Linked DNA regions of Macaca mulatta. The protein of the gene in region 1 purifies or fractionates together with the protein of each later gene. This does not show direct contact. Links are inferred from orthologs where the notes say so. Each region holds a gene or a part of one and is shown in the gene's direction. Other genes may lie near its edges. The genes, in order: GEMIN2 and SNRNP70.

The links.
Region 2: the proteins of GEMIN2 (region 1) and SNRNP70 purify together in Homo sapiens (affinity purification with mass spectrometry; 5 studies listed by BioGRID and IntAct, counting the BioPlex papers as one, with this or other methods). This does not show direct contact. The link is inferred for Macaca mulatta from reciprocal best matches to the Homo sapiens genes GEMIN2 and SNRNP70.

The regions. Positions count from the first base shown.
Region 1 is NC_133412.1:112,222,886-112,227,662, forward strand, and holds the start of GEMIN2 (gem-associated protein 2), read left to right. Parts: upstream 1-1,724; 5' UTR 1,725-1,786; coding exon 1,787-1,923; intron 1,924-2,277; coding exon 2,278-2,362; intron 2,363-4,777. UniProt on the Homo sapiens protein: The SMN complex catalyzes the assembly of small nuclear ribonucleoproteins (snRNPs), the building blocks of the spliceosome, and thereby plays an important role in the splicing of cellular pre-mRNAs.
Region 2 is NC_133424.1:61,533,251-61,537,472, forward strand, and holds the start of SNRNP70 (U1 small nuclear ribonucleoprotein 70 kDa), read left to right. Parts: upstream 1-1,422; 5' UTR 1,423-1,614; exon of another isoform or gene 1,615-1,823; intron 1,824-2,377; 5' UTR 2,378-2,387; coding exon 2,388-2,534; intron 2,535-4,222. UniProt on the Homo sapiens protein: Component of the spliceosomal U1 snRNP, which is essential for recognition of the pre-mRNA 5' splice-site and the subsequent assembly of the spliceosome. SNRNP70 binds to the loop I region of U1-snRNA.

The DNA.
Region 1 (4,777 bases):
AAGGCTGGGTAATATTTTATTTTATTTATTTATTTATTTTGAGATGGAGTTTCACTCTTGTTGCCCAGGCTGGAGTGCAATGGCACAATGTCGGCTCACTGCCACCTCCACCTCCTGGATTCAAGCGATTCTTCTGCCTCAGCCTCCCAAGTAGATGGGATTACAGGCGCCCGCCACCATGCCCAGCTAATATTTTGTATTTTTACTAAAGATGGAGTTTCACCATGTTGGCCAGGCTGATCTGGAACTCCTGACCTCAGGTGATCTGCCCAGCTCAGCCTCCCAAAGTGGTTGGGATTACAGCGTGAGCCACCGCGCCTGGCCAAGATTCTTTACAGATGCAAATTTTCCCCCACGAAGAACAGCTTTGCAGGGCCTTTTCAAAATAGGGCAAAGAAACATGTTTTGGGGTAAAATATTTTTTTCTTCTTCTTTGTCTCATAATGTTATGCTGAAGTGAGGTTGAAAAGTAAATCATGATATATAGGGTTAAATAAAACCCATCTGATGAGAATTTATGCTTTGTAGGGCATGACTCCCCAGACCCCTTAGATAGGAATTTGGGCAAAATAAAAAAATCAGTTTAGTCCTCAAGTCACTACTTTTTCATATTTGTCCTTGATTATCACCAAAATGTTGGAGGACAGGAGTATTTCTCCCTATTCTCTTTTAAGTCTGTTTTTCCCAAAACCAGTGAAAATTTGTTAACCAAATAACTGTAGTCTGCAGCCAGGTGTTATCTTTCCCAGTGTCCCAACTGTTTAGTTGCAGTTCCTAAGCATTAAGTACTTAAATAAGCTAAGGACTATCCTCACTTTATCTTCAATTTAGATTTACATCCTGGTTTAAAATCAGTTCCTTGCAAGCTAAAGGCAGTGCTATAAATAAAAAAATTTTTTTAAACCTTCTAAAATAAACATAAATGTTAGAAAATAAAAGTCAATTGCATTCACTCAATTGTATTTGTTTAGAAATAATCAGATATTATACTTGTTTCTTGCACATTCCTGCCTTGTTTCCTCACCTATGAAATGGAGATAATAATACTATCTACCTAACAAGACTGACCTAACATTTTTAATTTCTGGGTGTTAGCATTAGTTTCATTTTTTCACTATTTGTATTTAAACGAAGAGATTTTTCTTTAAAACGAAAATTAAAAAGTGCTGGCTATTCTAGGAGTAATATTCATTCCAAATAAACATACAGTGATCTTTGAAGTGGTCAAGCACTAGAAATTCCTGTAGAAAATTAATTTTTCATTCATTTGGCATCGGATAAATCTAGGTTGGAATTGGTTCTTCCCCTTTGGAAGGTCAGTCCCTGCCCTAAGAAAGCGGAATATTACTACCCACTTCACAAGATTGTTCTAAGAATCAAATGAGAAAATGTGTGTGTTTATTAAGGGTTTAAAAATTTAGAGCTCCATGAATGATAATTACCGTAATATTGTTCATTAATTCAAAAAACATTTCTAAGGATCCCTCACTACTAGAGATGCATAAAAGTTGCTAACCCTCGGCCTTTACCCAGCGTTAGAAAACAAAACAGAGGGTAAAAGACCCAGAAACGCGTTCGAACCAATTCAGCTAGGAATTAAATTCTCAGATCCTTTATTACACCACCGGAGCCTTAACCTTGAGGCAAGCAGCAGTTTGTTCATGCGCAGTTAACGCTCCCTAAACTGCCGCTTGCTCAGCTCCGCGCCTAAGGTGTCTACTTGTGCGCCTGCGCTGTGACCTAGAATGGGCGCAAGCGCTGAGCGGAACTGGCTGGTTTGAAAACCATGGCGTGGGTACCAGCGGAGTCCGCAGTGGAAGAGTTGATGCCTCGGCTATTGCCGGTAGAGCCCTGCGACTTGACGGAAGGTTTCGATCCCTCGGTACCCCCGAGGACGCCTCAGGAATACCTGAGGCGGGTCCAGTGAGTGATTTGGCCCTGGGCGGGTGGGCTGGTCTTCTGCGCTGCCCCTGGGTACAGCCCCCGGTGCTCTATTCCCGTTCCAGTCTCTTGCGAGTTCGGGTCTATTCAGGATTCTGGATTACATCCTAACGTGGGCGAGTTTCTGTTGAACGTGATTGCACGTATCAAGATGTGTGCTCTTAGATTTGTTTTCGATCCAGATAATTTCAGAAATATATTGTTTAGTTCCTCAATTGGAAGTCTGAATTTTTTTTCTAATTTCACAATGAACTGTGGAAGTGGATCGCTCGTTTTACTACACCTGAGCAAAGCACAATAGAAATTTAATTTCTCGCGTTTATTACTTATTTGTAGGATCGAAGCAGCTCAATGTCCAGATGTTGTGGTAGCTCAAATTGACCCAAAGAAGTTGAAAAGGAAGCAAAGTGTGAATATTTCTGTGAGTTTTATTAACCGTCTGGAGCTTACCCCCAATCCCCCAGTTAAAAGACTAACGCTCCCTATAGTATCCAACAGTATCAATTATGATGTAAGATTTGACTACTCGCTGCAAAGTTAGACATTCGCTTGTACTTTTTCCTCCAGAAACACAATTGGCATTTACTGCCTCTAAAGAGGCTTTCTGTAACTCTAGCCTTTGTGGAGGCTTGCCCATCTTACTTCAGGGACATTATCCAGTCCTTTCAAAGGAGTCTTTAAATGGGTTACTTATGCTATCTTTTTTCTTTTTGCTTGTTTGTTTGTTTATAGAGAGTGAGTCTCTGTTGCCAGCAGGTCTGGAACTCCTGGCCTCAAGGGATCCTCCCACCTCTGCCACCCAAAGCATTGGGATCACAGGCATGAGCCACCTCGCCTGACCCCTTTATTTTTAAGGAACCTTTTTCCAGTTATTGGATTGGTGTTTAATCTTAGTTTAATATAATTTAATCTGAATTTGACTAAATTTCACTTTTTTTAATAGAAACCCAGATGTCTTACACATTTTTTTTTTTTTTTTTTTTTTTTTTTTGAGACAGAGTTTCACTCTTGTTGCCCAGGCTGCAATGCAGTGGTGCGATCTCGGCTCACTGCAACCTCTGCCTTCCGGTTTCAAGCGATTACCCTGCCTCAGCCTCCTGAGTAACTGGGATTACAGGCGCTCGCCACCACACCCGGCTAATTTTTGCATTTTTAGTAGAGACGGGGTTTCACCGTGTTGGTCAGTCTGGTCTCGAACTCGTGACCTCGTGATTTGCCCACCTCTGCCTCCCAAACTGCTGGGATTACAGGTGTGAGCCACCATACCCGGCCTTACTTTTATAGCTATGTGCACACTCTGGACATTTTCATTTATCCAGCACATCTTTAATTAAGCAGAGTACAGTGCCGGGCCCTGGGAATACAACAGAGGATAAGACAAAAACGGTTCTTACCCTTGTAGAGTTTACATACTCTCCTGAGGAAGACAGAGAGTAAACAAGCGAACAAATAATTACATATTGTGATTATTGCTATGAAGAAAATAAGCATATATAATAATACATGACAGAACTACTGTAGATAGAGGAATCATAAAAGGACTCTCTTTTTCCCTTTTTTTTTTTTTTTTGAGTCTCTATTTTTCACCTAGGCTGGAGTACAGTGGCACGATCTCAGTTCATCACAACCTCCGCCTCCCAGGTTCAAGAGCTTCTCCTGCCTCAGCCTCCTAAGTAGCTGGGATTACAGGTGTGTGCCACCACACCCGGCTAATTTTTGTATTTTTAGTAGAGACGTGGTTTTACCATGTTGGCCAGGCTGGTCTCGAACTCCTGACCTGAAGTGATCTGCCTGCCTCCACCTCCTAAAGTGCTGGAATTACAGGTGTGAGCCACCACACCTGGCCAGCAAAGGTCTCTCTAAGGAGGTGCTATTTAACCTAAGCTCAAAGGAGAGTGGCATTTTATTTTATTTATTTATTTTTTCTTTGAGACAGAGTCTCTGAGTCTCACTCTGTCACCCAGGCTGGAGTGCAGTGGTGCAATCTCAGCTCACTGCAACCTCCGCCTCCTGGGTTCACACCATTCTCCTGCCTCAGCCTCCCAAGTAGCTGGAACTACAGGTGCCTGGAAGAGTGGCATTTTAACTAGTTGATAGTAATTTCCTTTTCATGTTCAAAGTAGTTGTTCTAACTGATATTTGTAATCAGGAAATTTTAATTCAGACACTATAATTTTTCTTATAATTCCTCTTCAGGATTTTTTAGTTGATGGACATTTAATGGAACAGAATGTCTTAATATACCTAATTTGATGGATTGATTGATTGATTGAGACAAGGTCTCGCTTTGTTGCATAGGCCAGAGTACAGTGCCATGATCATAGCTCACTGCAGCCTCGAGCTCGTGGGCTCAAGCCATCCTCCCACCTCAGTCTCCCCAGTAGCTGAGACGACAGGCATGTGCCACAGTGCCCAGCTAATTGTATTTTTTGTAGAGACGGGGTCTTGATATGTTGCTCAGGCTATACGTGCTGTTTTAGAAAATAGAAGTATGGTTGGGCACAGTGGCTCACGCCTGTAATCCCAGCACTTTGGGAGGCCAAGGCAGGCGGATCACAGGAGTTCGGGAGTTCAGGACCAGCCTGACCAACATGGAGAAACCCCGTCTCTACTAAAAATACAAAATTAGCCGGGTGTGGTGGCACACGCCTGTAATCCCAGCTACTCGAGAGGCTGAGGCAGGAGAATTGCTTGAACCCGGGAGACAGAGATTGTGGTGAGCCGAGATGACGCCATTGCGCTCCAGCCTGGGCAACAAGAGCAAAACTCCGTCTCAAAAAAAGAAAACAGAAGTAGGCAATTTAAAGTTAAATGTCTTTAAGTACATCTTGCCCAT
Region 2 (4,222 bases), on another chromosome or scaffold:
CTCAGCTTCCCGAGTAGCTAGAATTACAGGTGTGTGCCACCACTCTCAGCTAATTTTTGCATTTTTAGTAGAGATGGGATTTCACCATGTTGGCCAGGCTGGTCTCGAACTCCTCAAGTGATCCACCCGCCTTGGCCTCCCAAAGTGCTGGGATTACAGGTGTGAGCCACTGCACTTGGCCTTTTTATTGAAACATAAAATTAGTCAATTGAATTTTGCAGTAATTTCTGTAGTTATTAAACAGGCTATTGAATCTATCCACAAAACTGAAGATACTTAACAACAGGGCTCCAAATAGCTTAAGTGCCAGCTCTCTGATCTCATGGCTAACAACCTGAGATTTCTGCCATCTGGTCCTCGCTCAGGACCTTTGCACTTAAACTGTTAAACACCACCCCCCGCTCCTCCCCCCCTCCAGATCTCGCTTCTATCTGGTTTTTGTTCAAATGTTGCCTCTTCAGAAGAGGCTTCCATTATCAAAATAGACTCGCTCTCATTTCCCATCCCTTTATTCTGCTCCATCGTTCTTCATTATGCTGGCCACTATCTCAAAATATCTTTTATTTTTTATATTTATTTATTTTTGAGACGGAGTCGCTCTGTCGCCCAGGCTGGAGTGCAATGGCACGACCTCGGCTCACTGCAAACTCAGCCTCCCGAGTTCAAGCGATTCTCCTGCCACAGCCTCCCGAGTAACTGGGATTACAGGCGCGCACCGCCACGCCCGGATAATTTTTGTATTTTTAGTAGAGACGGGCTTTCACCATGTTGGTCAGGTTGGTCTCGCACTCCTGACCTCAGGTGATCCGACCGCCTCAGCTTCCCAAAGTTCTGGGATTACATGCGTGATCCACCGCGCCCGGCCTCAAATTATCTTTACTCAGTTAAATGCTTTTATTGTCTCTCCCAGTACAGTGTAAGCCCTAGCAGGAGAAGACTTTGCTTTAATCACGTGCTGTAGCCCCAAAGCCCAGACAGTGCCTAGCACACACGAGATGCTCGATGAACAGTTATCGATTGACTAGATTAAACATCAACGCAATCAGGCCATTCACTTAGGGACTCTTTGCTAGTCGGCGGAGAGGTACATTATAGTTCCCTACGCAGAACGCATGCGCGCAAGATCCGGGAAGTGTGATTGGAAAGGGGCGGAGCATCAGGGAGAGCCTCGCGGACATAGGCGGTTTGGAGCGGAAAGCGAGAGGTGGAGGGGCGGCTTGGGGCTAAGCGCGCGCGCGCAGTGCAGACGCCAGCTCCCGGCGGTTGAAATACTCAAGGTGCCCGAAGGCGGGGTGGTGACCTCGCGCGTGCGCTGTTGCCGCGGCGGCGCCGGGTCCCAGCGTGTGGGTTGAGCTTGGCCTCGCGCGGCGCGTGCGCAGTGCAGACGGCGGAGGGATTTGCGGCCGGGACCCACCCCCTGCTCCAGTCGCTAGCCGAGGCCGCGCGGGTTCCTGAGCAGCGGCCTGGTGCGCTCGCTGCGCGGGCGACGGAATCAGACGGACGCGGACGCCCCCAGAGTGGAAGCCCAAGCAGGAGCTGTTGTTGCTGAGGGGCCGCCGCAGCCGCCGCGAGCCTCCGGACAGACACCAGAGCTAGGAGGGCGCTGCGCGGCGAGTGAGTGTGACTGAGTGGCCCGACGGGGAGCGGGGCCGCTACCCAGAAGCCCCAGCGGTGGGCCCGGGCCTCTTCCCCGCGGCCAGGCCCCCTTCCCGCGTCCTCGCCACAGGTCACTTTTGCATCCCTTTCTCGGACCCCGAGTTCTCTGGGCACCCACGCCCGGTCCCCACATCGCCCTCGCGGTTCCCTACCCACAGGCCCTTGCGGTGTGTAGCCTTTTTTCTTTTTCGTTTTTCTATGTTGTCCTGGACCCTTACCCATAATTCCTTTCGCCTTTGCGGGGCCCAGATCTGTTACCCACAAGCGCTTGGTTTTGGGGCTTCGCTCCTTATGTTTCTCTTTCTTTGCTCGGAGACTTCCGACCCCCAGGCCCTTGCAAACTGCGTCTAGTAATTTGCTGTCCACGGTACGGGACGAGCAGCCACAACTGCCCTGGGCCTCCCTCCTCGGGTCTTTGATTCCCCCAGAAATTCCCAGGCAACCTCTCCGCCCCACAGCTCGTGTCTCAGGACTCTGAGACTTCACTACTCAGGAACCCTTTTTCAGCCTTTATTTTTGTGTCTTTTACCGGCCTTTCACCTCCACCTCCAACAAGACTTTTACCCTTTTCTCCGTAACACAGGACCGTTCTCTGCCGTTACAAAGCCTGTTTTAATTCCGAGACTTTTCTCCTTTCTTTCTTACTTTGAGAGTCAAGGAGTAATAGGGGCTTTCTCTGCAGACCCGATCTAACCTAAGGCTGTCCTGCTTCTGCTCTCAGACTTGGCAAGATGACCCAGTTCCTGCCGCCCAACCTTCTGGCCCTCTTTGCCCCCCGTGACCCTATCCCATACCTGCCACCCCTGGAGAAACTGCCACATGAAAAACACCACAATCAACCTTACTGTGGCATTGCGCCGTACATTCGAGAGTTTGAGGTGAGTTCACTGAGCAGGCCAGGAATGGTTTGGGTTCTGGGGAGCAAGGGGTTGGATTTGCGAGTCCAGCCTCTGACTATTTTGCTAGCTGTGTGATTTAAGCGAGGGGCTTAATCTTTGTGATCCTCAGTTTCGCTGTTTTAAATGGGGTTGCAGCCGGGTGCCGGGTGTGGTCGAGTGCAGCAGTAGTTCTAGCTACTCAGGAGGCTGAGATGGGAGGATTGCTTGAGCCCAGGAGTTGGGGACTGAAGTGCTCTGTGATTGTGCCGCTATACTCCGGCCTGGGTGACAGAGCAGGACTTTGTCTCTCAAAAAAAAAAAAATTTTTTTTAAAGTGGGGTTGTGGCCCAGTGCGGTGGCTCACGCCTGTAATCCCAGTACTTTGGGAGGCTGAGGCAGGTGGATCACCTGAGGTGAAGAGTTCAAGACCAGCCTGACCAACATGGTGAAACCCCGTCTCTACTAAAAATAACAAAAATTAGCCGGGCATGATGATGCCTGTAATTCCAGCTCCTTGGGAGGCTGAGGCACGAGAATCACTTGAACCCAGGAGGTGGAGGTTGCAATGAGCTGAGATCGTGCCACTGCACTCCAGCCTGGGCAACAGAAGAAGACTGTCTCAAAAAAAAAGTAGGGTTTGATAGTACCCCTTTTGTAGAATTTTTGTGAAAATTCAGTGAGTAGTGGTTGAAGATTGGCACTTAACCCGCACCATTTATCAGCTCTGACTTTGGGCAAATGTTGTATCCTCTTCATGCATTGGTTTCTTTATCTTTAGCAAGGGGATAGTGGTAGCACCCTCATAATGCTGGAGAATTAAATGGCAAAGTGTATATCAGGGGCTTGGCACCAACCAGTCAGCACGTGTCAGCCTTTGTTACTTTGTTTACTGTTTTTATTGTTAATAAGATGATGTTCATAAAGACTTAGCACCCAGTATTGAGTATTGGAGGACTTAAAACTGCAGATGGGGATCTTAGCTCTGCACCTTCGGGGTAAATAGGAATGAATGACTTAGGCTCCTGGACCTCTGTGTTTTTATTTGTGAAATGGGATGACAAAGGTCTTCTCCTAGGTGCATCAGAGCACACCTGAGAAAAACTGGCACATAGCCAGAAGTTACAAGAACATTCTGGCATTGCGTAGGGAAGGGCAGCTGGAGGCGAGGGAGTTGCACAGCAGAAGTTCATAGATAACAGAAAGGTGTATCTTCAGTGGGATTTGCCACCCTTGGTGAACCCGCATTTGAGAAGTGTTACTGGCCAGTTAAATTAACTTAATGGGCACAGGCGGTGGTAGGTGCCCTTTGATGATGCAGGTCATGTGCCAGTTTCTATTTATTTATTTATTTATTTGAGAGGGAGTCTTGCTCTGTCGCCCAGGCTAGAGTGCAGTGGTGCTATCTCAGCTCACTGCAAGCTCCGCCTCCTGGGTTCACGCCATTCTCCTGCCTCAGCCTCCGGAGTAGCTGGGACTACAGGTGCCTGCCACCACGCCCGGCTAATTTTTTGTATTTTTAGTAGAAACGGGGTTTCACCGTGTTAGCCAGGATGGTCTGGATCTCCTGACTTCGTGATCCGCCCACCTTGGCCTCCCAAAGTGCTGGGATTACAGGCGTGAGCCACCGTGCCTGGTCTCAGTTACTAGTTATTTATTTTTTTTTTTAATTTTTTTTTTTTTTTTTTTTT